Linked DNA regions of Macaca mulatta. The protein of the gene in region 2 interacts with the protein of the main gene of each other region in a biochemical or structural test. Links are inferred from orthologs where the notes say so. Each region holds a gene or a part of one and is shown on either strand. Other genes may lie near its edges. The genes, in order: UBR2 and H2AC20.

Evidence for each region.
Region 1: the proteins of H2AC20 (region 2) and UBR2 form a complex in vitro, tested with the Homo sapiens proteins (2 studies listed by BioGRID, with this or other methods). The link is inferred for Macaca mulatta from reciprocal best matches to the Homo sapiens genes H2AC20 and UBR2.

The regions. Positions count from the first base shown.
Region 1 is NC_133409.1:139,473,350-139,489,221, forward strand, and holds part of UBR2 (E3 ubiquitin-protein ligase UBR2), read right to left. Parts: coding exon 15,859-15,872; intron 15,438-15,858; coding exon 15,283-15,437; intron 12,304-15,282; coding exon 12,201-12,303; intron 9,898-12,200; coding exon 9,788-9,897; intron 9,680-9,787; coding exon 9,599-9,679; intron 9,276-9,598; coding exon 9,097-9,275; intron 7,996-9,096; coding exon 7,796-7,995; intron 5,459-7,795; coding exon 5,365-5,458; intron 4,405-5,364; coding exon 4,243-4,404; intron 3,500-4,242; exon of another isoform or gene 3,393-3,499; intron 2,235-3,392; coding exon 2,131-2,234; intron 1,477-2,130; coding exon 1,398-1,476; intron 1-1,397. UniProt on the Homo sapiens protein: E3 ubiquitin-protein ligase which is a component of the N-end rule pathway.
Region 2 is NC_133406.1:117,251,989-117,266,582, forward strand, and holds H2AC20 (histone H2A type 2-C), read right to left. Parts: upstream 13,340-14,594; 5' UTR 13,283-13,339; coding exon 12,893-13,282; 3' UTR 12,873-12,892; downstream 1-12,872. Other genes in the region: BOLA1 (bolA-like protein 1), read right to left, coding at 3,811-4,224; H2AC21 (histone H2A type 2-B), read left to right, coding at 12,340-12,732; H2BC21 (histone H2B type 2-E), read left to right, coding at 13,617-13,997. UniProt on the Homo sapiens protein: Core component of nucleosome. Nucleosomes wrap and compact DNA into chromatin, limiting DNA accessibility to the cellular machineries which require DNA as a template.

The DNA.
Region 1 (15,872 bases), on a different chromosome or scaffold from region 2:
AAAAAAGAAATACATACATAGAAAACAAATACATGAAAAAGACAAGGTAATTATTAACTATAAGACAAAACTGTACGAGAAAGGAAATATAATTCTAATATGCAACTTGTATCAGCAGAAACACAGTTATTATAATGTAAAAACTGACAACTAGATTTAACCAAAAATTGTGGAATAATTTACTAGTCAACAGTGAAGATACTGTCTAATTAGAAATATGGAAGTAAATACTAGAAGTGACAAATAAAATGACAGGACTGGTGGAGTGTGGCAGACAGAAGATTGAAGTTTTTTTCTTCCTTTTTCTTTTTTTTTGAGATGGAGTCTCAGTCTGTCACCCAGGCTGGAGTGCAGTGGCGCAATCTCGGCTCATTGCAACCTCTGACTCCCAAGTTCAAGCGACTCTCCTGCCTCAGCCTCCCAAGTAGCTGGGATTACAAGCGTGTACCACCACGCCTGGCTAATTTTTGTATTTTTAGTAGAGACAGGGTTTCACCATGTTGGCTAGACTGGTCTTGAATTCCTGACCTCAAGTGATCTGCCCGCCTTGGCCTCCCAAAGTGCTGGGATTATAGGTGTGATGTTTTTTCTATTCAAGTCTTCTAGGTCTGTATTTATTGAGTTACTTGGTACGTGCCAGGCATAGCTTTCAGGTAGCTCTATGTACATTATGTCACTTTATCCTAATAAGAACTATGAATTATCCTCACTTAACAGATGAGGGAACTGAGGTACAGCGAGGTCAAGCAATTTGCTCAAAGTTGCACAGCTAAAAAGTGGTGGTGCTGGGAACTGAATCAACCAGTCTAGCTCCAGAATCTATGCTATACCTTGTAACTAACTGGCTATGGGGTAAAGTAGGGTGGAAAATATTCTGGTTTTAATCCTGGGTTGCCAAAAGCTTGGTTAGGTCATTCATAGAAATTCTGAAGTCAGACAGAAGTGCGGGATCCTTCGGGGAAGCTTAGCAGTTTGTGTTTAGAATTACTGATTAGATGTCGTCAAGGAGAGCCAGGTAAAGAAAGGGGTATGGAGGGGGTCAGCAATGCTGACTAGGAGAGGGTGGTGAGAATTAACCACGCCACATCATTCTTAGATTTTTTTAATGTACTGCAATAAATACAATCATGTAATGCTTAAAAGTTTTTTTGTTGTTTTGAGACAGGGTCTCACTCTGTCACCCAGACTGGAGTGCAGTGGCACAATGAAGGCTCACTGCAGCCTCTACCTCCTGGGCTCACACCTCCTGCCTCAGCCTCTGCTTAAACTTTAGAACTAAAGATCAGTATCCTATAACATTTTGCTCCCTTGCTTGCCAAATCATATTCCTCCTAACTGCTGATTTAATCATCATTTCAAATGGGTCAAATTTTAAAGGAGTAAAATAATATACTCACTTAGGATGAAAATCAGGCCTGAACCCTTCAGGGAGCTGTAACTCATCCATATTTTCTGAATTCTTTGTAGACCCATTATCTATGGAAACAGGCATTTTATACCATTATTCAATACATGACAATATTCCTAAAAGTATAGCCATATAGGTCAAAGAAATTAAAAACAACAGGAAAAAAATTCCCTAATAAAAACTGGCATAACAACCATATGAAGCATGAAAACACTATTGCTCTAGTTGACCAAGGCCCTTTCTTATCTATGCTTTTCCTTACAGTACAGCCACTAAAATGAAAACAAGAGTAGCTATTCTGTTTCTATGAAAACCAATGATATAAATTCTGTTCATACTACGTTCCCACAAGGTCATAAGTGCAGTGCATGGTCTATGAAACTTGGGAAGCCTTTGGTAATGCCAACAGTAAGGTGAGTTAGCCCACCAAGAACTGAAGCTAGCTCTGCAACACTCAGTTACATCTCCCCCACCTCCAGAAGCTCTTCAATAAAATGGGGGAATAAGTGAGAAGTGTTTGTTATAAACTTCACATGAGCTTGTGTGTTTAAGGAATTAGGAGTAATGCAGTAAAGTCAAATTTAGTTTATTAAGACAATGAAAATTAGAATGAGTCAAAATTTTAAGTGGGAGGTTTCACTTTTAAACAATTTCTTCTGGAAATACATTTTCTGATGACCTCGGACTTTAGGGAAAAATGAAAACAGGTTACCGGAACTTACTAGGAGTACTTTCTTCTTTCCTAAGAAACTGTAATGCTTTTATTTGCTGAGATATTGTTCTAATCCACTGAGTCAGATTTGGTTGGTCTGAAAAATTTAACCTGCTAGAAAAGATTATAGAGAGTATTTAGTGTTTTATTATTGTTCCTTAAGATACAAAAGACTCCTTAAATGATCACAGGCATATTTTAGACACACTCCAAATATTAAAAACAAAAAAGATAAGGGAAAATTCGTTGCATTAAAAAAATTAGGATATTGGCCAATGGAAATGAATATATTATTTGTCAATATGATGGTAATAACACTGTGTATTAAAAATCTCACTCTTCAGTACTGGAATTTGCTAGAATTTCTTAAGTATCATAATCACCATCACTATTAATATCTACCAAGTGCTTATTATGTTACAAGCATTTAGTGAAGCATTTTACTGTAAATATCTTATGGTATTAGACTTAATCCTCAAAATATCCCTATATTTTGTTTCAGGTTGTAGTATTATTGCATAGGTTGTATCCCTATATTGTATTATTTGTATAGGTTGTATTACTACATTTTGTAATAGGTTTTATTATTATCCCCATTTTACAGATGAGGAAACTGAGGTTTAGAGCTATGTAACTTGACTAAGGCCGAATAAAGGACAAAGCTAGCATTCAAATTTGGCTCTGTAAGATTCCAAAGCCTGTGTATTTTTATGATTATATTCGAATATGACTAAACCATAATTGAATCTCATGGGCAAAACCCAAAAAGTGGACCAATAAAGTGACAGGTGAAATCCAACAAGAGTGATTTCTTCTTATACACAGTTAATCCTCAATCTAACAATAATTAATTTCTTTATCAGTTCAAATGCAGATAAGTACCATGATATTCTTCTATAATTAAAAAGCATGAGCTTACACCCAAATCTACTAATATTTTAAGAACATTTTGTGGTAGCATAGACTAAGACACCAAAGTTTGAACTCCTAAAACTGACAAGAAAAAACTGACTTTGCTTTGAACTGAATCCAAGTAACACAGAAATGGATCATTTATACTCACATAACTTAATATTTGTGCATGCAAGGTAGGCAGCATAATTCTACATTGAGAAATGAAGTTCAGATTTGAATAGCAGACATTATCAAATTCATGCTTGAAATGAGTATGTCCAATACTCATAACTAAAAGCATCCAAAAAATTATGAAGTTACAGAAATTTTCCATTTTCTTTATTTTTTTTCGTCTGCTAGACAAATTCTAAAAGAGCTAAAAATATGGAACACTTCAAAAATTTGTGTGTCATCCTTGTGAAAGAGCCATGCTAATCTTCTCTTTATCGTTCCAATTTTAGCGTATGTGCTACTGAAGCAAGCACTTATTTTATTTTTGAGACTGGGTTCTGCTCTGTCACTCAGGCTGAAGTGCAACGGCATGATCAAAGCTCACTGCAGCCTTGACCCAAGTGAGCCTCCCACCTGAGTCTCCCAAGTAGCTGGGACTATAGGCATATGCCACTACATCCAGCTAACTTTTTATTTTTTGTACAGACAGGGTCTCATTATGTTGCCAAGGATGGTCTTGAACTCCTGGGCTCAAATGATCCTCCCACCTTGGCCTCCCAGAGTGCTAGGATTATAGATGTGAGCCACAATGCCCAGCTGAGATTTTTCCATTTAAAATATAGCAATAGATTTTCACTTTTTTGCCTGGTTCTTGAAACTATGAATGGCTAGTACATTGCAAAAAGTTTTATACGATTTTCAGACTGTCCTATAAAGTCAGTTTGAGTTGTTCCATCTCCCCCTACCAGTTTACTGAGCATCTCTTGAAAAGTGCATGGAAGATATTAAAAGTAGGGTCGTTAGAAATAAACCAGATACTTGGTTTTCATAAATACACAGGAATTTTATAGCTTAGAAACTTAAATTTTCACCTGCTCCTCTCTAAAAACTAAAATGATATTCCACAGGTCTGCTAGAAGAAAATGACCAGAGTTTGGAAAGTATCTGGAAAACACTATGCAACTGCCTACGTTAAGTCTTCCTCCCTGATTTATTATTTCATTATCTTCAAAGCAAACTACGGCTTTGTTATGAGTTGTCATGAGCCAAAACTTACTTGTTAAAAATATTTCTTGGAGGAAGCAGCAGAGGAATAACAGTATTACTCAAGCATTCACAAAGGGGGCAAAGGAATTCTCCATTTTCTACATCATAGCTTGTATGTAAGCGTAATCTCTGTTGCCTTCGCTGTTCTTTAGCTTGAACGGAATCAAAATACCTTTACAATTAGAGAACATGAGGTATCAAAACAATGGTAATTTATATAAATGACAGCCACAAGCTTCAACATTTTAAATAATTTGTTTCCACAAATAGTTCAAAAATGAAAAATCTTAAAACTTTAAATTATTTTTAACATGATTTTTGAGTGATTTTAAAAATCCAAATGGATTAAAGGTTCTAAAACAGGAAAATAAAAAAAAAGACTGCCATGTAAAAAAGCATTTACAAAGCAGCAACAAAAATTTCTTGGTGCCACTGTTCTCTTGCCACTTCCCCAAGGCTGGTGGCTATTTGTTTGTTTTTTTGAGATGGAGTGTCGCTCTGTCACCCAGGTGGGAGTGCAGTTGCACGATCTTGGTGCACGGCAACCTCCACTTCCCACATTCAAGCAATTCTCCTGTCTCAGCCTCCCAAGTAGCTGGGACTACAACGTGGTGGCTAGTTGTTAGGGGTAGTTCATAATAACTGGGTGAGCATAGTTCTAGAATAATATTGATTTGTTGGTTTTGCAGAAGCATAGAAAACACCAAGGTAGAACAAATTCAGGACATCTCATCTTATCACAGGGAGCCAGTAAAATTTTGGGAAGTAACAAAGCAAATATTAACATCTATGGAATCAAGAGTTGTCCACCCTGGACCCAAAGAAAGACAACATTACCCTTCTAGGGTTTATCCTACTGTAAAAACCCTTTTCTTCATCCACAGACTGACACAGATCCACTTCCTTCTTTGGAAGATAAAGAAGAGACTTGGATATAAAGCTAAATTAAAAAATATATCTGACATACTTTACATCTATGACAAGGCAAATAACTTTTGTTATTAGGCAAAAATATAGATTTTTTTTCTTCAACATTTTTAGTTCTTTTCCTTTTTTCTAGAATAAAATTTCCTCTACGTTAAAAATTTTGAGCCCTTAAACTTCTCTTGAAAATATTAAGCATATACATTACCTTTGCCAACAATGGGCATGCATAATGTGCCCACAGCTACTAGTGTGTGTTCCACAAGACAGATCAGGATGCATGAATAATGGATCATATTTTTCTGCATTACAAAACAAAAACAAAAACAAAAAACAAAACAAAAAAGTGAAGCATTTAATTTTCCTATAACAAATGTGCAACTTTAAATTGTAAAATCTTTGATAAAGACTTGTAAATTTGAAATGAAATGCTAGTTTATTCCTTTTGAGATACCAATAATTTATGCAAGACTTTGGATTATTCAGAAAGTAGGACTCTAATTTTCACCATCCACAGCAAATTAATTAAACATTCTCAAATTGTAAACTGAAATTAGAACGATGAATTTAAATATATCCAATCTTTTGAACATTTCACACTTTCAGGGTACTGAGGTATTCCAATTCCTCCCATTGTACCCTGAACTCCAGGTAAAAGAGCTACTCTCTTCCCTGGGCTGCCTTACGTGCGTTCAGGACAGCTGGGTTACAATGATCGCTAATAAAAAATGTTTTGGCAGTAATGGGGCGCCCACTAGAGGACAGACTGCTTAACGACATTCATACAGCAAATAATCACATCAGAGCCGAAGTGACAACAAAAAATCTAAGCATAGACCAGATCAGATGGGGAAAAAAAAAAGTAATTCAGAGTCTTCTGTCCTGGTGTCCTGGTGCTAATTTTTATATTCAAATGGGATGAAAAATCAAGAAAAACAAGATGGATGTCTGGCTTCTTTTGGAATTTTTTGAATTCTTTATATAAATTAGTATAATCTTAGAAATTTCCTAACACTCTAGAAAGAATTATTTTTAATTTGCTTTAATAGTTTTAATTTGCTTTAACACTAGAACAGTGCAAATGTCAAAGCATTAAGAAAATCCACTTAGAGCCAGCTAATGCTTTTTCTTCAAGAAGTAACAAATTAAATAAAATTAACAACTCTGTCTTTGGCCTGGAATGAAATTTATAAAGCACCAAGTTTAAATGGCTATTTCTTTTTTTTTTTGGCAGAGTCTCGCTCTGTCGCCCAGGCTGGAGTGCAGTGGTGCCATCTTGGCTCACTGCAAGCTCCTCCTCCCGGGTTCACGCCATTCTCCTGCCTCAGCCTCCCGAGTAGCTGGGACTACAGGTGCCTGCCACCATGCCCGGCTAATTTTTTTTCATATTTTTTAGTAGAGATGGGGTTTCACTATGTTAGCCAGGATGGTCTTGACCTCCTGACCTCGTGATCTGCCCGCCTCAGCCTCCCAGAGTGCTGGGATTACAGGCGTGAGCCACTGCACCTGGCCTTTAAAAAAAAAAAAAAAAAAAAGACAGGGTCTTGCTCCGTCGCCCAGGCTGGAGGGCAGTGGTGCAATCTCAGCTCACTGCAACCTCCACCTCCTAGGTTCAAGCAATTCTCGAGCCTCAGCCTCTTGAGTAGCTGGGACTACAGGTGCGCGCCACCACATTCAGCTAATATTTTTGTACTATTAGTAGAGACGGGGTTTCACCATGTTGGCCAGGCTGGTCTCGAACTCCTGACCTCAGATGATCCACCTGCCTTGGCCTCCCAAAGTGCTGGGATTACAGGCATGAGCCACCATGCCCAGCCCAAATTACCATTTTAAAAGATGAAGCAGACCAATCTTTAGTAAATAGGATACAAAGACTTTCTTTAAAGAGAGAAGGCAACTCTAAAAGTGGCTCTCAAACCTCCTTTCACACTGCAGTGTGAAAGGCATGGGCTAAAGAAGTGCTCTGGGAATTTCCAAGACACAGTTCCTATTCTCAAGAAGTTTACTGTGTATCACTCAAGCATATGCACACAGAGCACAACCTACAAGCAGAGAAATAAATGTGTCAGTGGACAAAATCATGTACAGACTGGATCTCCCTGCTTTACTTCCTCAGTTGCTGAAAGAGGGCCCTCAACTGTCCTGCACAGTAATCTGTATCTCAAGAATCTGCTTTCTGGGGAACCCGATCTGTGGTGGTATCACTATTCTAAGTCAGAATTTGGCTCAAGGATTGCCTCTTACATAGGTAACTCTCTATCACTGTTCTCAGGAGATTCCACTCAGGCTCTATCAATAAGACAAAGCAATTATTATTTCAGTGTGTCAACAAATGACCAAGGCTTTGCAAGTGTACTGAAGCATGGGAAAGACTGTGAAATGCCAAAGTATGTAATGTTACATCACAAAGAAAAGCTTTACTTTGAATCCCTGCTATTTATCAGCTATATGATTCAGATGTAACTTTCTGGAGTGGTTCCACATCTGCCAAGTGGGGAATTCCTGCCTAAGTTACCTGCCAAAGATACCATCCAAGTCTATGGAGTCATTCTTAGATTTAAAAAATCTCAATGTATCATCAACCACATTAACTGGTAGTTGTTATTAATCGGGAAGATGAGGATCTAGCTATGACTTACCTGGATCTTGAATAAATTTACTTCTGTTTTTTGATAATACAGTTGATCTCTGAACAAATGCTGCCAAGACCATTGCCCTGCTTTCCACTTTAACTTCTTGCTCCTCTTGACACAATATACATGTAACGAATTGTCTTTGTTCAGGAACCTGAGTTTGTGTGGGGCCCAGCGCTGTAAGTGTCATATCTGAAACCACAGGGCTGCAATACAAAGGTTATGAATATAATTAACGATCCCAAAAACTTTCTACATAATCATAAAATAGCAGACTACAGGTATGTATGTGTGCATATACATATATATCTATATATTTTTTAAATTTTATTTTTTTCTTTTTGAGACGGAGTCTCGCTCTGTCACCCAGGCTGGAGTGCAATGGTGCGATATCGGCTCACTGCAAGCTCCGCCTCCCGGGTTCACGCCATTCTCTTGCCTCAGCCTCCGGAGTAGCTGGGACTACAGGTGCCCGCCACCATGCCCAGCTAATTTTTTGTATTTTTTAGTAGAGACAGGGTTTCACTGTGTCAGCCAGGATGGTCTTGATCTCCTGACCTCGTGATCTGCCTGCCTCGGCCTCCCAGAGTGCTGGGATTACAGGCATGAGCCACTGTGCCCGGCCCACTTTTATTATTTATTTATTTTTTTGAGATGGAGTCTTGCTCTGTTGCTTAGGCAGGAGTGCAGTGGCATGATCTCAGCTCACTGCAACCTCCACCTCCCAGGTTCAAGCGATTCTCCTGCCTCAGCCTACTGACTAGCTGAGATTATAGGTGCACACCACCACGCCCGGCTAATTTTTTTTTTTTTGTATTTTTAGTAAAGACAGGGTTTCACCATGTTGGTCAGGCTGGTCTCAAACTCCTGACCTTGTGATCTGCCCGCCTCGGCCTCCCAAAGTGCTGGGATTACAGGTGTGAACCACCGTGTCTGGCCAGGCATGTATATATTTAACACATGGTTTTGATAACTTGGATTGTCAAGTCTTTGGTATGTATCAAAACCATCTCCTTTAATTCTCACAGCAATCTAATCTGCAACACAGATGTCACACACTCTAGATAACTGAGTGTAGTGTACTCATTCTTTCATGAATGTCCAAGATCTTCTGCAGAAAATACCCTACTATATTACCATATCTATATTCAGAGATTTCTAAGATTAAATCTTCTAAATGGAGGTCACAAAATTTACCTACGAATTCTAATAAATTACTTTAGGTTTAAAAATATACTTACAAGGAAAAAAAGCAACACTGCCCCTAGTTGGGAACAACTGGTCAACAAATTAATTTTTTTTAATACCTATTATCAAGAACAGCAGAGGTTGAGGCATCCAGTTCTAATGTCTGCTGAAAGAGTTCTTTGTTTTCATCAATAAAATGCCGCTGCATTTCAGACATCTGAGCCATGATCTTTTCTCTGCGCAGTCTGGCAATCTCTGCTTTTCTCTTCCTCTCAGCTTTGTCTTTGTCCCTTGAACTCTGAAATTATGCTCCATTCAATTAGACCATTAGATGCTAAAACACACATTTTTTTCCAAAGCAGAAATATCTTTATTGTAAATACCAATTAAAAACTATTCTACAATCTCACTTATTTAAACAAGAGAAAAGACTCTTAAGTTGACCTAACATGTTTTAAAGGAAAAAAGCAGACAAAAAATTGCTACAACAAATAGAGACAAATAGTGGCATATTTGTTGGAATTTCAATGTTGTAACTGGCAACTTACTGTAGATAAATTTAATTTGTTCATACTGAACTTGTTATAATTTTTTAGCATTATCACACTTTACTGTTTATACCTCTTCCATTATGGTTCCTTCTGTCTCTGTCACGGGACTGGTAGGTGAACTCTCCCTCATCTTTTTAACAGCATTAAAAGTCTACAAAAAAAAAAAGTATCAGTATCCTGTATGAAATATCATCACAATGTACACGTAACAAATATTTAATATTTCTCACAAAAAGCAGAAGAATGTAGGAAATTTTACCTTCAATATCCACCGAATCATGTCTTTGTGGACTTCTAGGTAGGGAGCATTTTGTAGTGTTTCCAGCATAGCTAGTATGCTAGGAGAGTTTTTTGGCGCTTCACCAGGTTCTATGTCAGAAAAATAAAAGGCACAATAACAACAGCTAACACTTCATAGTACTTATTCCTATGCACAGGAACATAAATGCAGTTGCTTATAACACCTATTGCCCATAATTTGATTATGACTCTACCAAAGAGATTTTCAATACTTCTTGAGAATGTGACATATGTGCCTTTTACAAACAAGCTGCCAACAACTAGAATTCTTTAAGCATTCAAAAGTGACTTTTAATAGCAAACGAATTTGCTAAAATGTATTTTAGCAAAATTATATATAAATTCAGCTAAAAATAACTGGTGTACTTGAGATTTTACAGGTCTAAAAATAAACTAGCATTAAGAGGTGCACATATGTACAAATACGTTTATTTGCTCTGACCATTGCCTTTAATAAAAACTAGATTCAGAATAAAATGAATTTCTTCCCCTAGGAATTCACTGTTTATTTGAATATAAGAGTTAAGTCCATATTTTCTATTAGTCTGTAGTCAGAAATGTTCAATTATCGATTTTCTTGATTTTGGTGCTGCCATTCTGGAAAAATGTGCCTTTTTCCTAAGAGGGAAGAGATTGACCTTTGTGATCTTTAATATTCTATCACATCTAAAACTCTGTGGCGTGCATTAGGGATGTGACTCTAGATAAGGGAGAGGTTTCTTTGCAAATAAATCGTGTGTCTTAATTATGTAAAATGTCTAAAGACAAATTAAGAGTAATGTTGAGGGAAAATGATGATCGTTTAATAAAAAGGAAAGAGAAAGTAAGAGAGAACCTAATATATATATATATATATATTTTTGAGACAGAGTCTTACTCTGTTGCCCAGGCTGGAGTGCAGTGGTGTGATCTCAGCCCACTGCGACCTCCACATCCTGGGTTCAAGCGATTCTCCTGCCTCAGTCTCCCGAGTAGCTGGGATTACAGGTGCCCACCACCATGCCCGGATAATTTTTGTATTTTTGGTAGAGACAGGTTTCGTCATGTTGGCCAGGTTGGTCTCGAACTCCTGACCTCAGGTGATTCACCCACCTCGGTCTCCCAAAGTGCTGGGATTACAAGCATGAGCCATCGTGCCTGGCCAAGAACCTAATATTTTATAGTGATGAGTGAATGAAATTAGGGAGTATTCTGTGTGGTTATCCTAAAATAAACACACCAGAAACAAAGAAAGCAAAAACCACAGTATTAATCCATAGAAACAATACGGTAGAGAAAAAGAATAGGTAAAAACTGGCATCCATGAATAAAGTGTTCAGTGGGGAAAGGTGGTTTCTCCTCTTTCTCTCATTTACTTGGATGAGAGCAAAAAGGAAAACTAGAGATCTAGAAGCAAACAAAATTACTCCTCCCTGTCCCCTGGTAGCATAATTCTCACAGTTATCATTTAGGAAGAAATGGCACTGAACACATTTACAGAAATAATCCTTTTTAATCAAAGCATTTATAAACTCCTATCATAGCACCATAAATTCATTTAAAAACACCTCAGCAAATAGCTGACTACCGGTCTGTGGCAGGGAAAGTATAAGATGAGCTTGGGCATCTTTTGGGCCAGAAAGTGAGGTGGTACTTTCTGGCCCAAATGGGGCTGGGTGAAAAGGACACAGAAACTGACTAAATAAACTCCCACTGATCAAAGTGGGCATGATTTGAGCATCAAAAGGAATAATCATTATAAGTGACTATAAAACACTGAATAAGTAAAATGAATAATATTTTAAAAAACTCTAAACAAAAAACATTCAAAGTTGCCACAATTGCAGGTAACTATCAGGCCAATGGCTGGTTATGAAAATTAGTAAATGAAAAGCTTTTCTTTGAGACGTGAAATATTATGTCTACAACAAAAGGTTCAAGAAAGTACGTAAATATAAAAGCAAATATAGCAAACTACTAAATCTAGGTAGTAGGTATATGAATGTTTACTGGACAATTCTTTCCACTTGTCTATATGTTTGAAATCTTTAAAATAAAAAGCTAGAAAAACTCCCTGGCCTTCTTTCAAAAAGTCACATTTCTTTATATGAAATGACAATCTAATCCCCTATAATTTTTATTTGTTTTCAATACTATAGAATCTTATGTCAACCACAGCTGACTGTAACTTTGAACTTAGCCCTAGATATTTTTATAAAAATATAACAGGGTTTAATATAGTACCTTTACTACACAGATGAGTACATATAGCCTCAAACATTTAGATTAAATGTTACCCTTTTAGAATCCATATGACCAAATAAGAGAGGTTATTAAGTGATTTCTTAAAATCATTTATATCGAGTTAGTTTAGTAAAAAGATATATACATACTTGATATCTTCTGAGTGAAGGTAAATGTTACTACATGCTCTTCTGTGACATTCTCTAAATGTTGTTTTTCTTCTTGTAGTGCCATTCCAATTAAATGTAACACCTTGAATAAATGTTTTGTAACTTTTAGTAACAATTAAAAAAACCAAAAAAACCAAGCACATATTTTAATAAGAAATAGCAAAAAAGAATTATTGAAAAAGATAAATCAAACTATTAAGTACTAAATGCAATTAAAAACAATTTGAAGTACTAATTTTTTTTTTTTTTTTTTTTTGAGATGGAGTTTTGCTCTGTCAACCCAGGCTCACTGCAACCTCTGCCTCCTGGGTTCAAGCGATTCTCCTCCCTCAGCCTCCCCAGTAGCTGGGATTACAAGCGTGTGCCACCATGCCCAGCTAATTTTTGTACTTTTAGTACAGATGGGGTTTCACCATGTTGGCCAGGCTGGTCTCGAACTCCTGACCTCAAGTGATCCACCCATCGTGGCCTCCCAAAGTGCTGGGATTAAAGGTGTGAGCCACCATGCCTGGCCTTGAAGTACTAATTTTTATTAAATGAAAAGACTGAGGTTCATTTTCTATTAAACAATAATTGGCAAGAAAAACAAAATTTTCTACTTCAATGAGGAAGAAATTTCAATCGCAAATTCTTAGGGTAAGCTAAAATTACCACCACCTGTGACCAGCAATTCACATAATATGTAAGTTTTATTCTATACCTATACTACAGACTTAAAAAAACCTTCCAAGAATCAGTGGTCAAGTAAGTACAAAGCTAAAAGTATCCCCTATGTAATTATTCAGTCTATGACACTATATAGTTTAATTTCTCTAAGGACTAAATCATCATCTGAGAAAGACAAACTTTTTATCTCTAATGCCTTATCATTTATAAACTTTAGAGTCCTTCAATGTATCTCACAAAATATTCTCCATCAGACTTCTAAGAGAGTGTATTAACCTATTTGTTTTTTTACTGCTATTACCCCATGCCCAAGTTTTTCTGTGTTTTTTGAGACAGAGTTTCCCTTGTTGCCCAGGATGGAGTGCAGTGGCACAATATCGGCTCACTGCAACCTCCGCCTCCCAGTTTCAAGGGATTCTCCTGAGCCCTCCTGAGTAGCTGGGATTACAGGCATGTGCCATGATGATTGGCTAATTTTTGTATTTTTAGTAGAGACGAGGTTTCACCATGTTGTACAGGCTGGTCTTGAACTCCCAACCCCAAGTGATCCACCTGCCTCGGCCTCCCAAAGTGTTAGGATTATAGGGGTGAGCCACTGCGCCGGGCCCACACCCCAGTTTTTAAAGGAGATATGTGTGTGATGTCTCTGTATCTTTCCCTCCACAAGGGAAGACTGTGGTTGTCAGAGACTTGGAAGAACTAGGTGACATAAAGCAAATGTACACGTAAGGTAAATATTGTTCACACCTCTCTTCTCCATTATTTCCCACAAATCTTTTGTTCATGTAATGCTGACAGTACACGACAGCTAGTACAGCTGTACTAGTAATGAGCTAGTATACCACAGCTCCATGCTTTTACACTTTAAATAGGCTTATAAATAGGAGGGCATTATAAGAATACACACATCTTAGCCAGTGAGACAAAAAGAAAGAATGATAGCTACTAAGCCTTCTGAGGAAGGCTCCAAAATTTGAATTCGAATCCTGGTTTTACTGCTTTCAAGCTATTAATATAAACCCTCAGGGAATGTTTCTGAGCCCATGTCATCATCTTTAACACTGGAAAAAAAGTTTCCCTCTAGAGTTCTGAGGATTACAAATGCTGTATGCAGAGTGCTTAGCATGGCCGGGCATGGTGCTCACGTCTGTAACCCTAGCACTTTGGAAGGCCGAGGTGAGTGGATCACCTGATGTTGGGAGTTCGAGACTAGCTTGGCCAACATGGTGAAACCCTGTCTCTACTAAAAATACAAAAAATTAGCTGGGTGTGGTGACAGGCACCTGTAATCCCAACTACTCAGGAGGCTGAGGCAGGAGAATTGCTTGAACCCCGGAGGCAGAGGTTGCAGTGAGCCAAGATCACGCCATTGTACTCCAGCCTGGGTGACAAGAGCAAAACTGTCTCCAAAAAAAAAAAAAAAAAAAAAAAGTGCTTAGCATGGAATAAGGCATAAAGTAGACATTCTATTTAATGAATAATTGTTATATCACTTAGTAGAGTTATATGGGAAGTAAATGGAACCTCACTGAAACTTGGCTTCCTCATCTAACGATGAGAAGAAAGTGATATCTATTCATGGGGTGTTGTGTGAATTCAATGAGATAATGTAAAAATGACTTACATTAAAACTATAAAGTAAAATACAAACAAGGGGCCAGGCATGGTGGGCTCACGCATGTAATCCCAATACTTGGGGAGGTCGAGGGGGGAGGATTGCTTGAGTCTAGGAGTTCAAGACCAGCCTGGGGAACATGGCAAAACTTTGTCTCTACCAAAAATACAAAAATTAGCCAAGTGTTGTGATGCATGCCTGTAATCCCAGCTACTTGGGATACTGAGGTGGAGGGATCGCTTGAACCCAGGAGGCAGAGGTTGCAGTGAGCCAAGATCGCATCACTGCACTCCAGCTTCCTGGGTGACAGAGCCAGATCCTGTCTCAAAAACACAAAAACAAAAATAACACAAAAAAGGTTCCAGACTTGCCACGTAACTAGCTAAAGGACCATAAGTCTATGAGTGCCAGTTTCTTCAACTACAAAATAAGGATATGGATGATTCAAAAAAAAATTTTTGTTTTGGAAAATAATTAGATTAGAAACATATATAAAAGATAACACATTACATCAATATCAGAGCACTACATATATAAAGACCAGGACCAATCAAGGAGAGAATGACTGCCCAGTGGGACTGAGGTAATAACAACCATGTGGTATAAAAAATCTGTCTGGCACTTGTTTTCACTGTCAGACACAAAAGCAGTAACACTATATTCAAGTTAGGAAAACACAGTATGTTTCGGCCTCATTTTCCTCTGTATAGATACAGACAAGAATATTTTGCTTGTACTATAAAATACTAAAATATAAATAATAAATGTCTTCAAACCTACCCTTTGCAGCATGGACTCTGACCAGGCATATCCATTATGTTCCACAGCCCATTGCAGAATTGTTCCCATGATGCACAGCATGACATCTGACTGCAAAATGTTAACCAGGCTTGCAAACAGAGGGCAGAATGGAGGCAACACCGGAGGTGGGAGTGCTGAAAATACAGTTGTTATTACTATCGGTTTCTTTTACAGAACATGCTTTAGAAACTATCCCTTTGTTACTTTTGATAGTTTTAACTCAAAAATATTCATTAACGCACACCTTAAAGCTATTATTTTACGTTCTCAAGGTCAAATCTGTAAAATGAGCCACATAAGTAGCAGCAGTACAAAAGAAAGTCTGTCTTTTCCCCTAGGAAGGTTTTAAGATCTGAGATAAAATCAAACCAGAGGAGACTTAGTACAAACTATTTCTATGTTAGCATATTTATTATTCCTTTGAATAGGAGGTTGTTCACTAGGAAAGCTTACATTTAAATATTCATTCCACCAAGGACAATCATCATAGTTAATAGAAAACAATGTTTAACATGTAAAAAAGGGGCATGACATTTTTGGAAAGATTAAAAATACCTGTATCTTCTCTA
Region 2 (14,594 bases):
TGCATGTGCCATGGGGCGGGGGGTATCACTATACTGTCCTCAAATATAAGCCAAGGGTTAATTTCAGCGGACGCACACACAACCCTGCCTCCCATAGTCCCTCCCCTAATCTGGTTTCTGTGTTGAGCCTGGGATGGAGGAGCCCTAGGCCAGCCAGGGATAAGAGACCCACAGTCTCGGGAGATCTGAGGGCATCTGACAAGGCTCATCTGCTTCCCTCCTTAAGAAGCACAGGCCTCCTCTGGAGTGAGAGGCTCCACCCACTACAGCACAGGTGGGAACAGCACAGCTGCCCTCCCATACCCCCGACCTGTCCCCTCACAGGCAGGGGAGCAGGGGAGGGAAAGAAACCAGGCATCTGGTCAAACCAGCAGATCAAAAAGCACAAGGAGCTGGGGCAGAGGCAAGAAGCAGGGGCCCTCCTGGCAGCTCCTCTGAGTGGGGAGAGGTTGAGCAGTGAGTGAGGGACCCCTAACGCAGGGACTAGAAGCCTCAGTTTCCCCATTTTACCCTTCCACACAATAGCCTCTGTAGGTTAGGCTGCCCCGTCCCACCCTACTCTGTGTGGCTGCTTTCTTTGGTGCCCTCCCCTCACCCCACTGTAGCTGTGATGTGTTGTAGTTTTTAGATGTTTGTAAAATGTTTAAAAAAAGTTAAAAAGGAAAAAAGTGAAAATAACAAAAAAGAAAATCAAAATTCACCTTCGTCATGCTGCGTCCGGTACCCCAACCCTGTGGTCACTCCCCCCATTTTGTAACACTGTACCAGGTGGTGACTGTTTAACTCTTTGGTGTCTGTGCTCAAAAGACTGCCTTCTCCTCCAGTGCCCAGTGTATGAATGTATGCCCTGTGCCCTTGTCCCTCACTCCTCACATGCTGGACGTAGCCCTCTTCCTTGCACCCCTGGGAGGGACCCATCCATCTCCCTTGCTCTCCTGGGGAACCCCAAACCCAACTCTGTTGATGTGAAAAATGCAATGAAAAATATTGATGAAAAATAAAACAGAAACAAATCCTCAAAATACAAAATGGCTATACCTGCTTCTGTGACTCTCCACCTACATCCAATTCTCCTAACAGCCTTGGAGGGTAAAATGGTGAGATGGAAAAACAGCTTTCCAAACTGAAGGTCAGAATAACATGGTGTACCAGCTTTATTTCCTAAATTGGCCTCTCTACCTTGATCTTTCCCCTACCGATGGAAGGCCCTCTAAGTCTCCCAGATTTGAAAACTTTGGGAGTAACATTTCATAAGAATAGAACCAACTTTCCCCTAAATCTTCTGTTATGCTTTTTAAAAATACACACTCCAGACTCCACTCTTGACTTGTTGAATCAGAACCCTTTTTTTTTCTTGGTTTGGAAGGATGGGGACCTTGAATCTCCTTTTTTTGAGACAGAGTCTCGCTTTGTTGCTCAGGCTGGAGTGCAATGGTGTGATCTCAGCTCACTGCAACCTCTGCCTCTCGGGTTCAAGCGATTCTCCTGCCTCAGCTTCCTAAGTGTGGTTGGCGCCTGCCACCACACCCGGCTAATTTTTGTAGATATGGGGCCAGGATGGTCTCGAACTCCTGACCTCAGGTGATCCGCCCACCACGGCCTCCCAAAGTGCTGGGATTACAAGTGTGAGCCACCACGACTGGCCGGAAGCTACATTTTAAACAATCTCCATGGGAGTTCTTACCTAAAAGAAAATCTGAAAACTACTGCCTTGGGGTTACCTTGACTCCCCTCTCACTCTAGTCCATTTCTGTTCTAATCAAACCATTTTCTGATTTTATGGTAGCTCTCAAATCAACTCCTTCCTTTCCATTCCCACAGATGACCTGTAAATCAGGGTTCTACCTTCACTCTGGATTGATCTCTTTTCCTCCAATCTCCCATGCCAACTCACTTACACATCACTGCCAGATCCATCTGACCCCAAATGCTCTCTGGCATGTCTGTACTCAAAATTCGTTAATAACTCCCTACTGCCCAACCACATGCACCTTAAATTCTTTAGCTAGAAATGATCAAGATATATGTTAACCGGGCCGGGCGTGGTGGCTCATGCCTGTAATCCCAGCACTTTGGGAGGTTGACGCAGGCGGATCGCTTGAGGTCAGGAGTTTGAGACCAGCCTGACCAATATGATGAAACCTTGTCTTCACTAAAAATACAAAAATTAGCCGGGCATGGTGGCAGGCACCTGTAATCCCAGCTAGTCAGGAGGCTGAGACAGGAGAATTGCTTGAACCTGGGAGACGGAGGTTGCAGTGAGCTGAGATCAGGCCATTGCACTCCAGCCTGGGCAACAAGAGCAAAACTGTCTAAAAAAAAAAAAAAAAAAAAAAAAAAGATATATGTTAACCAAGTTTTGTTCTCTAATAATTTCCACATTGAGATTATTAGAAAGTTGCTTCTATAGACATTACTTGAGCTCCCCTCAGAAATATGACAACATTTGTAATGCTCAAAAAGGGCTACATTGTGGGGCATGGTGGCTTACACCTGTAATCCTAGCACCTTGGGAGGCGGTGGGCAGAGTGCCTGAGCTCAGGAGTCTAAGACCAGCCTGGGCAACATGGTGAACCCTGTCTCTACTAAAATACAAAAAATTAGACGGGTGTGGTGGCACAAGCCTCTAGTCCCAGCTACTTGGGAGGCTAAGGCAGGAGAATTGCTTAAACCTGGGAGGTGGAGGTTGCAGTGAGTTGTGATTGTGCCACTGCACTCCAGCTTGGGCAACAGAGACTCTGTCTTAAAGAAACAAACAAAAAAACACTAGGGGTGGTGGCTCACACCTGTAATCCCAACACCTTGGGAGGCTGAGGCAGGAGGATCACCTGAGGTCAGAAGTTTGAGACCATCCTGGTCAACATGGTGAAACCCCATCTCTACTAAAAATACAAAAAATTGCTGGACGTGGTGGTGCATGCCTGTCATCCCAGCTACTGGGGAGGCTGAGGTAGGAGAATCACTTGAACCCAGGAGGCAGAGGTTGCAGTGAGCCGAGATTGCGCCACTGCACTGCAGCCTGGGCGACAAGAGCGAAACTCCGTCTCAAAAAAAAAAAAAAAAGGGGGGCTATATAAAGGTTTCTCCATCATCTCTAATAATTTTCTTAGTTCTTATTCTCTTTTCACTGCTTTAGTGGTTTTTAAAAACATTTTTCTTTTAAACAAATACAAGTACTACTTTTTGGAAATGGACAGGCTGTAAAAAAGGCAAACATTCCCCTGAGATGAAGTTCAAATGTGTCCCTGCCTATATCGCCTGTCTTGTCCATTAACTCACTGCTCAGTCCAGTGTCTATGCCTTTGCTCAGGTTCTTCTCTCTGCCTGCAGCACCTATCCTCTCCTTTCTGGTTAATTTTGTGCTTTCCTTTAAAGACCCAAGTAGATCACTTCCCTCATAAAGCCGTTCCCGACTAGTCTACAGGTATCTTTCTTCTCCCAAGAACACCTGTGGCACTGATTCAGCAGTCCATTAAGAACACAGCCTCATAGTGTAATTTCTTTTAATGTATAGGATTGTTTCCAACTCATCAGGTTTGGTGCAGTTCTGTCACGATTTAACATGGAACATCCGGGCTGCCCTTCCTGAATAGTCCAGGGCAAGAGCAGTAGTGAGTGATTCTTCTCTTTTCTTGGGTTCACTTTGACCTGAAGCAAGTTGCTATCTTCGGAGAATATGTATGGACCCCAGTAGAATAGAGCTCAGGGGTCTTCATCCCTTTCAAATCCTGGACTATATCGAAGGGAAGGCCTCAGTAGTTCGTGCTCACTCAGCCCATTCGGATCCTGGTCCTGCCCCTCTCTTGGGGCTTAAGGGGTTCCTAGAGCTTTCTTGTTCCCACCCAGGCATGGGGGGCTAGTGTCCAGCTGAGAGTTCTCTCTCCACTGGGCGGGGGTCCGTGCCTGGATGGCCAGTGCATGGACCGGCCCTGCCAGCTCCTCGGCCAGTGCTGCGTGGACCAGCCGGTGTCGTTGTAGGGGGCTTAGTCCCTCGAAACGAGAGCTCACCACGGCCACGCGGAAGTGCGTCTCACTGCCAGGCGGGACCGCGTGGCCACTGCTCTCGTTGCGAAGCTCCAGCACCTCGGGGCTCAGGGCCTGCTCCAGCTTCGTGCGAATGGCGGCCTCCACTGGACCGATGGCCCCGGATCCCGCGCTGCCCCGGGACAAACAGACCCGGCCAGCCATGGAGACCAGACCTGGGACCAGGCGACCACTCAGCATCGGCTACGCCAGAGACACGAGGAGTGAGGGTCGAGATGATCCGCCTGGTGAGAGCACAGTATCAACACCCGCCCCGCGACCCCCGCATCTGCTCTAACCCCACGCCCAGGTGTCCACACCAGCTCCTGTCGGGAGACCGCCTCAACGCCACACAGGGAGACTCGAGACACCGCCTTTTCTCTACGTGACACGGTGAATTCGACCTCCAGCTGTGGGAGTGGAGGGACAAGCGGAGATTAGAAAGGCCCGCAAGCGAGGCGCGTTCGTTCCTTACGGGATTTGCAAAGAATGGGCAAATGTAGGGCATGTGCAACTGCGTACTTGTGGTTGGGCCGAAGCCCCTGTGATCCCTGTAAAGCCCAGGAGAAGCCCCTTTTACCTGCCGCTCAGCCTCGGATATTGCGACTCCCGCTCAAGGCCAGGACTCTAGACGCTGCCGAGCAAAATGCAGTCCTGGCGCCCTTCCTGAGGCACGCTGGGAAATGGAGTCCTTGCTGTGCGTTAGTAGGAGGGGCAGGCACCACGTGGAGCCCTAAGGGCTCGTGGGAACTGTAGTCTTGGATTCTCCCCACCGGTAAGGTCGTCGGAAACTCTCAACCCAGCAACGCGAAGAAAAAGGGATTTCACGCGCAGCTGGGGTTGGGATTATTAGATCTATTTTACTGCCAATAGATATTGTAGATCATCCAGCCCAATTCCTTTATTTTATATACAAGAAAATGGAAGTCTGATTGAATACATAATTACTGTGCCTCAGACTAGTGCTGGGGACTGGAGAGTCAAGTCAGACCCTGTCTTCAAGGAGTTTACACAGCACTGAAGACTAACAAGTGAGCGGACAATTGCAGTACTGGGTACTAAGTGCTACGATGAGATAAACACAGGATGCTACGGAGGCAAGTTACCCAGACTTGGCCGGGGTTGGAGAGGTGGAATGACGGGCGGGCAGAGAATATTTCCGAGATTTAGGGAAACAGTTTGGCGGAAACAACATGAAAATCCATTTCTCAGTCCCTCATAGTGAGGTTTTGGCTGTGGTAGCCACATGTGTAAAGGACAAGAGGAGAGAGAATTTTGAGGGAGTCTTTCTGGTGTAGTTAGGGTGTGGTTATGTGTGGTTGGAGCCTACGGGGCAGATGATGATGAGTAGGGTACCGGGAGGAGAGGAAGGGCCCAGACCTCCCCAGGCCTTGTAGCCCTTGTTAGGCAATTTTGTCTTTATCCTAGAAGTAGTGGGAAGCTACTGAGGTTTTAAACAGGGATGTAACAGGATGTAATTTTTCCAGGATGATTCTTAACTTTTACGCTTATATATATATTTTTGTCTTTGTTTTTACTTCCTTTTTGTGGAGAATGGGGTCTCGCTATATTGCCTAGGCAGGTCTTGAACTTCTGGGCTCAAACTATCCTCCTGACTCTGCCTCCTTGAGAGCTGGGATTACAGGCGTGAGCCACCACACTTGGCGATTCTTAACTTTTAAATTTATTTAAATTTTATTTTGTATCCTTAATATATTTACATATTTCTAAATGTTTTTCCCCAACTTCTCATTTTGAAAAACGTCAAAGCCATAGAAAAGTTGAATAGTTCAAAGCAACACCCTCTATCTTTCACTTGGCCCACCATTTTTTACATTTATATTTATTTTATACTTGTACATATATACTCATATATTTAAGTACTTTACATATACTTTAAAATATATTTATGTACTTTTTTGGATGAACAATTTGAAAATAACTTGCAGGTAGCATGACATTTCACTCCTAACTACTCCAACATGTATCTCCTAAGAACAAAGATATTCTACCACATAACCACAATATCCTTATCACACTCAAGAAATTTAACCTATGACATACACTGTTTTCCCTAGCCTTTAAAAAAAATTTAAAACTTCCAGAAAAGTTGCAAGATTAATAGAATGAGCAACCCATTTATCCACTATTCACCTAGATTCACTGATAACATTTTGCCAGACTTGTCTTTGTATCTCTCTTTTAATGTATGTGTGTATAATAATAACGAAATAATAATAATTATTTCTGCTGACTCACTTGAGTTAGGTGCAAAATTCTTTTTTTTTTTTTTTTTTGAGACGGAGTTTTGCTTTTGTTGCCCAGGCTGGAGTGCAATGGCATGATCTCGGCTCACTGCAACCTCTGCCTCCTGGGTTCAAGCAAGTCTCCTGCCTCAGTGTCCTGAGTAACTGGGATTACAGACATGTGCCACCATGCCCAGCTAATTTTGTATTTTTAGTAGAGACGGGGTTTCTCCATGTTGATCAGGCTGGTCTGGAACTCCAACCTCAGGTGATCCGCTCTCCTCGGCCACCCAGGATTACCGGGATTACAGGCGTGAGCCACTGTGCCTGGCCCAAAATTCTTTTTTTTTTTTTAATGGAATCTCACTCTGTCACCCAGACTGGAGTGCAGTGGCGCCATCTTGGCCTACTGCAACCTCCACTTTCTGGGTTCAAGTGATTCTCCTGCCTCAGCCTCCTGAGTAGCTGGGACTACAGGTGGGTGCCACCACACTCGGCTAAATTTTTTTGTATTTCTAGTAGAGATGGGGTTTCACTATGTTGGCCAGGCTGGTCTGGAACTCCTGACCTCAAGTGATCCGCCTGCCTCAGCCTCCCAAAGTGATGGGATCACAGGTGTGGACCATGGCGCCTGGCTAATTTTTGTGTTTTTAGTGGAGAGGGGGTTTCACCATGTTGGCCAGGGTGGTCTCGAACTCCCGACCTCAGGTGATCTGCCCACCTCAGCCTCCTAAAGTGCTGGGATTACAAGCGTGAGCCACTACGCCTGGCCTGTGATGGTTAATGTGCCAACTTCTAGAGGATTGGTGCTCAGATATTTGGCAAAATTTGGGTGTTTCTGTGAGGGTATTTTGAATGAAATTAACATTTGAATTGGTAGACGGAGTAAATTGCCCTCCCTAATGTAGGTGGGTCCCATCCAACCAGTTGAAAACTTGACTAGAACAAAAAGAAGGACCCTCTCTTGAGTAAGAGAGACTTCCTTCTGCCTGACTGCTTTGAGACCGGGACGTTGGCTTTTCCCAGCCTTCAGACTCAGAAGTAAACACTGGCTCCATCTGGGTCTTAGACTCGGCCTTTGGACTGGAACTACACCATTGGTTCTCAGGCCTTTGGATTTGGACTGGAACTATATCAGCACCTTTCTTGGGTCTCCAGCTTGCCAGCTTACCCTGAAGATCTCGGGGATCTTGGGATTTATTAGCTTCCATAATCAAAAAGCCAATTTTTTATAATAAAACTATCTGTCAATCTATCAATCTATCTACTATTGGTTCTGTTTCCCTGGAGAATCCTAATGTATATTTACTTAAAAAAAAAAAAGACATTTTCTCACATAACCAGAATATAACTGTCAGACTCTAGAAATTAACATAGATACAGTACTATTATCTAATCTACAGACCTTATTCAAAATTTGCCAATTGTTCACTTCTATCCTATATATAAAATGAAAAGAAATATTTTCTGGTCCAGGATCCAATCTAGGATCACATGTTGCATTCAGTTGTTATATCTCTTTGTTCTCCATTAACTTGGAATAGTTTCCTAGATTTTGTCTTTCATGACTTTGGCAGTTTTGAAGTTACAGACATTTATTTTGTAGAATGTCCCTCAATCTGGGTTTGTCTGATGTTTCTTTATGATTAAAATTTAGCACATGCATTTTTTGGCCAGAATACTGCAGAAGTAATGTTGAATTCTTCTCTGTGAAACTTACCAGGGCACGTGATCTTTATTTTTCTTATTACTAGTGATAATTCTGATCATTTGATTAAGATGGTATCTGTCAGGCTTTTCCACTATAAAATTCCTTTTCTGTCTGTAATTGTGGAAGATACTTTAAGTCTATCTACTTTCCTATTTCTCCATTATTTTTTTTCCCACTAATTTTAGCATCTGAGAAGTATGTTTGAGACATCTCTTAGGGGTTGTTGAAGATAAAATGAGATCATGAGGGTGGGGCTGAGGTGTGGTATGTGATCACCTGGGGAGAGAGTAGATGGTGAGAAAAGAATCAGAATGTTTATTAGAAAGGCCACTCTAGTGAGGAGTGGGAAGAGTAGAAGCAGGGAGAGGAGCAGAAAAGTCTTTGTTGGTAGTCTGGGTGAAAGATAACCTGAGTGAAGGCACAAGATGGGCTAGAGAGAAGTAAATTGATTAGAAAGCTGCTACAAAGATGGCATCTATAGGACTTACTTTGGTTAGGACCTTGCAGTTTGCAAATCCAGTGAAACCCCACTTCTACTAAAAATACAAAAATTAGCCAGGTATGGTGGCACATTCCTGTAATCCCAGCTACTTGGGAGACTGAGGCAGGAGAATCTCTTGAACCTGGGAGGCAGAGGCTGCAGTGGGCGGAGATCGTGCCATTGCACTCCAGTCTAGGCGACAGAGCGAAACTCCATCTCAAAAAAAAAAAAAAAAAAAAAAGCACAGTACCGAATGGTGAGTGCTGTCACCAGGATATGAACAAAGAGATGTGGGCACAGCAAGGATATTTGTGTGGGAGTAGGGAAGTTCTCCTCTAATAATTCTTTCTTCCTTTTTTTGTACAGAGGAAGAAACAATGGCTGGATAAATTAAATGACTTCATTAAGCCCAACATCTAGACATCGTGAGGAGCATGTTCTTTGAGTCAGGCAGACCTAGATTCTAATCATGTGGCTGTGTGACCTTCAGCAATTTTTTTTTTTTTTTTTTGAGATAGAGTCTTGCTGTGTCGCCCAGGCTGGAGTGCAGTGGCGCTGTTTCGGCTCACTGCAACCTGTGCCTTCTGGGCTCAAGTAATCCTCCAACCTCAGCCTCCCAAGTAGCTGAGACCACAGGTCACAGGTGTGTGCCCCACCACACTCAGTTAATTTTTGTATTTTTTGTAGAGATAGGGTTTCGCCATGTTGCCCAGGCTGGTCTCAAACTCCTGGGTAAAAGCCATCTGCCTTGGTCTCCCAAAGTGCTGGGATTACAGGCGTGAGCCACCACACTCAGCCCAGCAATTGTTTTAATCCCTGTGAGCTTCAGTTTATTTGTGAAACACATAATTTTATCTACTTTGTAGGCAGTTGCTACTGTAGGGTTTATCATAGTAGGGTTTCAACATAATCTTTTTTTTTCTTTCACCCTTCTTATGGCACAGAACACTGTGATATAAGTAAAAAAGAAATCAGAGGTCAAGTCCAGGCGCAGTGGCTCACACCTGTCATCCCAGCACTTTGGGAGTTCGAGGCCAGCCTGGACAACATGGCAAAACCCTGTTTCTACTGAAAATACAAAAATTAGCTGGATGTGCTGGCGCATGCCTGTAATCTCAGCTATTTGTCGGCTGAGGCATGAGAATCACTTAAACACAAGAAGCAGAGGTTGCAGTGAGCTGAGATTCTGCCACTGCACTCCAGCCTGGGTGACAGAGTGAGACTCTGTCTGGAAAAAAAAAAAAAAAAAGAGGAGGTCAGAGAAAGAAAGGAAGGTCAGCATGCCCCTCAAGCAGGGCCTTATGGGGTGCCAGGATTATGGTAGGGTCCCCTATCATCTGGGTTTTTTTCTCTGCCCTTTAGGTCTGAAAAGTTGACACTATTAGAACTTCCAGGACTGACTGGCTTCTTGGGGAGGGACCCATGCTAACAAACTACACGAAATTTATGAATAGTCCAAAATGCAAATTCATTGAATTCTATGATGAACATCTTTCTATAACTGGCTCCCCCTACTTCAGTCTTATGTGTTTATCTTGGAATAGAACAATCAGAAAGTTGTTAATTGAGCACAGAATCTGAATGAAGGAACTTGGATAGTCTTCAGAAATATTTCACCCAGGCTGTGAGAAAAGGCTGATGCTTTCATAACCAAGGACCCTTTTCTAGTAGGCCAAACTTTGCCTCTGCCAGATATATTTTATTGTTGGTGAAAACATATTTCTACTACAATTGCCACCTGTTTGGACTCTATGTAGACTGCACCTTTCTGTTAACATTCATCTTCTCAAATGATATAATCAATTGGATTAGAAGGATCTTAGGTTACACCCTGGTCACCTCTGTCTGAACTTTGGTGTTCCCCAAATCTATACCAGCATTCTTACCAGGAGTAATCTCTAGACGTAGCTGATTTTAACTAATTTAACTCTCAGAGTTCACCAGATTTCCTCCATTTTCTGGAGGCATTTCATCACAGACTTGTTTGTACTACTTTCAATTATCTATACACCCATTGCCCAACAGCACACATCCAATAAATGCCAGTTGAATAAACTGGTGAGAATAAAGGAGGAAACATCAGAAAAGGTGTCAAATAATAAGATTTAAGTATTTTCTGGCCGGGTGCAGTGGCTCACGCCTGTAATCCCAGAACTTTGGGAGGTTGAGGTGGGCAGATCATAAGGTTGGAGTTTGAGACCAGCCTGGCCAACATTCGAGATTTGAGATCAGGAGTTCGAGATTAGCCTGGTCAACATTAGTAGAGATGAAACCCCATCTCTACTAAAAATACAAAAATTAGCCGGGCATGGTGGTGGGCGTCTGTAATCCCAGCTACTTGGGAGGCTGAGGTGGGAGGATCGCTTGAACCCGGGTGGGTGGGGGCGGGGTAGAGGAGGTGGTGGTGGAGGTGGCAGTGAGCTGAGAAGTGCTCCAGCCTGGGCGACAGAGCGAAACTCCGCCTCAAAAAACCAAAAAAACCACAAGTCTATTTTTTCTCTCTATTATTCTACCTGACCTTAAGGGATACTAAGGAAAGGGTGAGAATGGTGTAGGAGATGTAGAACTCCCAGAGATGGGACGTTGAGGAGGAAGAAACACAAGAGCTTTCAGGTTCATCTGTTATATGGGATAAAAGAAAAAAAGAAGAGCTTTCAGGAAAGATTTCTAAGGCCGCTGGAGTCACACCAGCAATTAATGCCTGACAGCAAAGTTACCCTTTCCCGGCTGTTGCTGAAATCTAAGGGATGATGATGAGGTGGACAAGGGAGCGTGGAGAAAAAGATTGAAGGGATATTAAGGAAGCAACTGACTGGACATGCTGAGACAAAGGGAAGAGTAGAGTAGATTTCGGCTTAGTTATCTGTAAGTATGCTGGCGCATTTCAGGAAGAGGGCAAAGAGGGGAGGTTGTTTGCAGGAGTTCGCGTTCGAATAGGCTGAGGTTGAGTTTGAGTTTGAGGTGCTCGTTGGGACAAGTAGTAGGTTGAAGTATTCAGTAAGCAGTTAGGCACAAGGGTCTGAGCTTCTGAAACAAATTTGGATGTTAGTTGAAAGCATATAAATGGGTAAGACTCTTCGGGATAAGTGAAGAATTGGAGATAGAGAAGCAGAATCCAGCTGGACTCGCAGATTTAGAGATGGCATGGGGAAGCAGGATAAGAAAAGTCGGCGAGCTAAGAAGAAAAACGCAGGGCGACATTTTGAAAGCCAAGGGAGTAAGCTTCAAGGCCGCCTCCTGGAGGTCAAGAAGATGACAGATCTAGCCTCGGTCAAACTGAATTCCAAGGAGTGCAGGCGGGTGGGGGTGGGGCGGAGTCGCTGCGGGCGACTTAAGTTGAGGGGCGAGAAAGGAGGCAGCCTTAGTAGTACTTGTATTTTTAAAGGGAATTTGGCTGTGACGAGACAGAAAGGGCGGAACTTAGTAGTTTAGAGCTCAAGGGGATCATTGGCTTCAGAATCCCCTACTCTTGCGTGAGAGTAACTCTCAGTCTACGGATGTCTTCTGCAGTTTCTTAGGGTCCATGTTGGGATTTACCGGCTGTAAACTAAACAAAGCAAAGCAAAACCCCATAGTACAAGACATTTTGTTTGAAAGCCTACTTTCTTTAAAGATCCTGCCATGCAAATAAGGGGCTTTAATGTGGCTCTCAGCGATTGGTAGATACTTACGAAATCCGTCATTTCCTTTCAGGGCAGGATGCAAACCAAGAGGCGGCTTTCTGTTTTTCTATTGGCTGTTGGATACGGCTCCGCTTTTAGCCAATCAAACGACTTCCCTTCACCCCTCCCGGTAGCTCTTATAAATTACATCAAATTGGTTATTCTTTCCACATTCTTCTCCTTGTAAAAGAAGCTGTAACTGCAATTTTAGCCGTAATGTCAGGACGCGGAAAGCAGGGAGGCAAGGCCCGCGCTAAGGCCAAGTCGCGCTCGTCCCGCGCTGGCCTCCAGTTCCCGGTGGGGCGAGTGCACCGCTTGCTGCGCAAGGGCAACTACGCGGAACGGGTGGGGGCAGGCGCCCCGGTGTACCTGGCGGCGGTCCTCGAGTACCTGACCGCGGAAATTCTGGAGCTAGCAGGCAACGCGGCTCGGGACAACAAGAAGACGCGCATCATCCCTCGCCATCTGCAACTAGCCGTGAGGAATGACGAAGAGCTCAACAAGTTACTCGGGGGTGTCACCATTGCCCAGGGCGGCGTCTTACCCAATATCCAGGCTGTCCTGTTGCCCAAGAAAACGGAGAGTCACAAGCCTGGCAAGAACAAGTAATTAAGAGGCTTGACACCATACTCATTCACCCCAAAGGCTCTTTTAAGAGCCACCAAAGTGTCAAATGAAGGGCTGATCACGAAATAGCGCATTAGCTCTTTTTTTGAAAACTTGGGTGGCTCTAAAAAGAGCCTTTGGTCTTTGGTTTGTTTGTCTGCATTTATTTGCTTTTGGCTTTGTGGCTTTCAGTTTTCTTTGGTAACAGAACGGCCTGGATGTTAGGCAAAACGCCGCCCTGGGCGATGGTGACTTTGCCCAGCAGCTTGTTCAGTTCCTCGTCGTTGCGGATGGCCAGCTGGAGGTGACGAGGGATGATGCGCGTCTTCTTGTTGTCCCGAGCTGCGTTGCCCGCCAGCTCCAGGATCTCGGCGGTCAGGTACTCGAGGACCGCCGCCATGTAGACTGGCGCGCCAGCCCCCACCCGCTCCGCGTAGTTGCCTTTGCGCAGCAAGCGGTGCACTCGCCCTACCGGGAACTGGAGGCCAGCGCGGGACGAGCGCGACTTGGCCTTGGCGCGAGCCTTGCCTCCTTGTTTGCCACGACCAGACATGACTGAAACCAAGGTTAAACACAGACAATGCTCAGAACCTCGCTACAAAATAAGCTTGAAAGAGAACCAAGAGGAAAGCCTTTATAAGCTTTCCTAGGGGTGGGGTCTAGAACGAGTTTTTCATTGGTCCTAATATGGCTTCAGAACCGGCCAATCAAGTCAAGAGTCGGTGTTGTTGCGTACGCATTGCTGAAAACGCAAGGTCCGCACACGGACCAATGGAAATGAATGACTTTCGGAGCCCTAATTTGCATAAGGTGGTTATAAAAGAATCAGGCCCGCCCATTCTCTTACTTCTTTTCTTGGCTAAGCCGCGTTTGTACTGTGTCTTACCATGCCTGAACCGGCAAAATCCGCTCCGGCTCCTAAAAAGGGCTCCAAGAAAGCCGTCACCAAAGCCCAGAAGAAAGACGGCAAGAAGCGCAAGCGCAGCCGCAAGGAGAGCTACTCCATCTACGTGTACAAGGTGCTGAAGCAGGTCCACCCCGACACCGGCATCTCGTCCAAGGCCATGGGCATCATGAACTCCTTCGTCAACGACATTTTCGAGCGCATCGCGGGAGAGGCGTCCCGCCTGGCGCACTACAACAAGCGCTCCACCATCACGTCCCGCGAGATCCAGACGGCCGTGCGCCTGCTGCTGCCCGGCGAGCTGGCCAAGCACGCCGTGTCCGAGGGCACCAAGGCAGTCACCAAGTACACCAGCTCCAAGTGAGTCCCTGCCGGGACCTGGCGCTCGCTCGCTCGAGTCGCCGGCTGCTTGACTCCAAAGGCTCTTTTCAGAGCCACCCACCTAATCACTAGAAAAGAGCTTGTTCACTTACTCCCTTAGTTTCTTCTCATAAAGTAATTTTAGCGTAAAGGTCATGGGAAATGCCACACGTAGGTTTTTAACCATTTGGAACTTGAGGTCCCCGGTGCATGATTGGATTTGCTTTTGAATCTAGAGCGTGTCTTCACTCATTGTGCTGCTTAGCATTCCCAGGAGTCGGTTCTCAATTAGGATGTTGGGAATCCGCCTCTTTACCCGCCCCCACTCCCGCCCCATACTGGCGCCCTGGTGGCTTCTTGGGTCTGTTTCATTCTAAAACGAAGTGGCTGAGTTCGGCTGTTATTTAAGAGAACTCCAGGGCACGATTCAGCCCAGGTTCCGCAAACACTGCGTGACAGCTGTGTATGACTGACGCTTGGCAGCACCTTTTGTGTCCGGTCACCAGTTCTGCTGTGCGATGGGGTCTCCTGTGGATACCAGCCGTTCTGTGTATTTTGGACGAAGCCCGCGCAGCCGGGTCCCAGCCTTTTCCTGATTGGG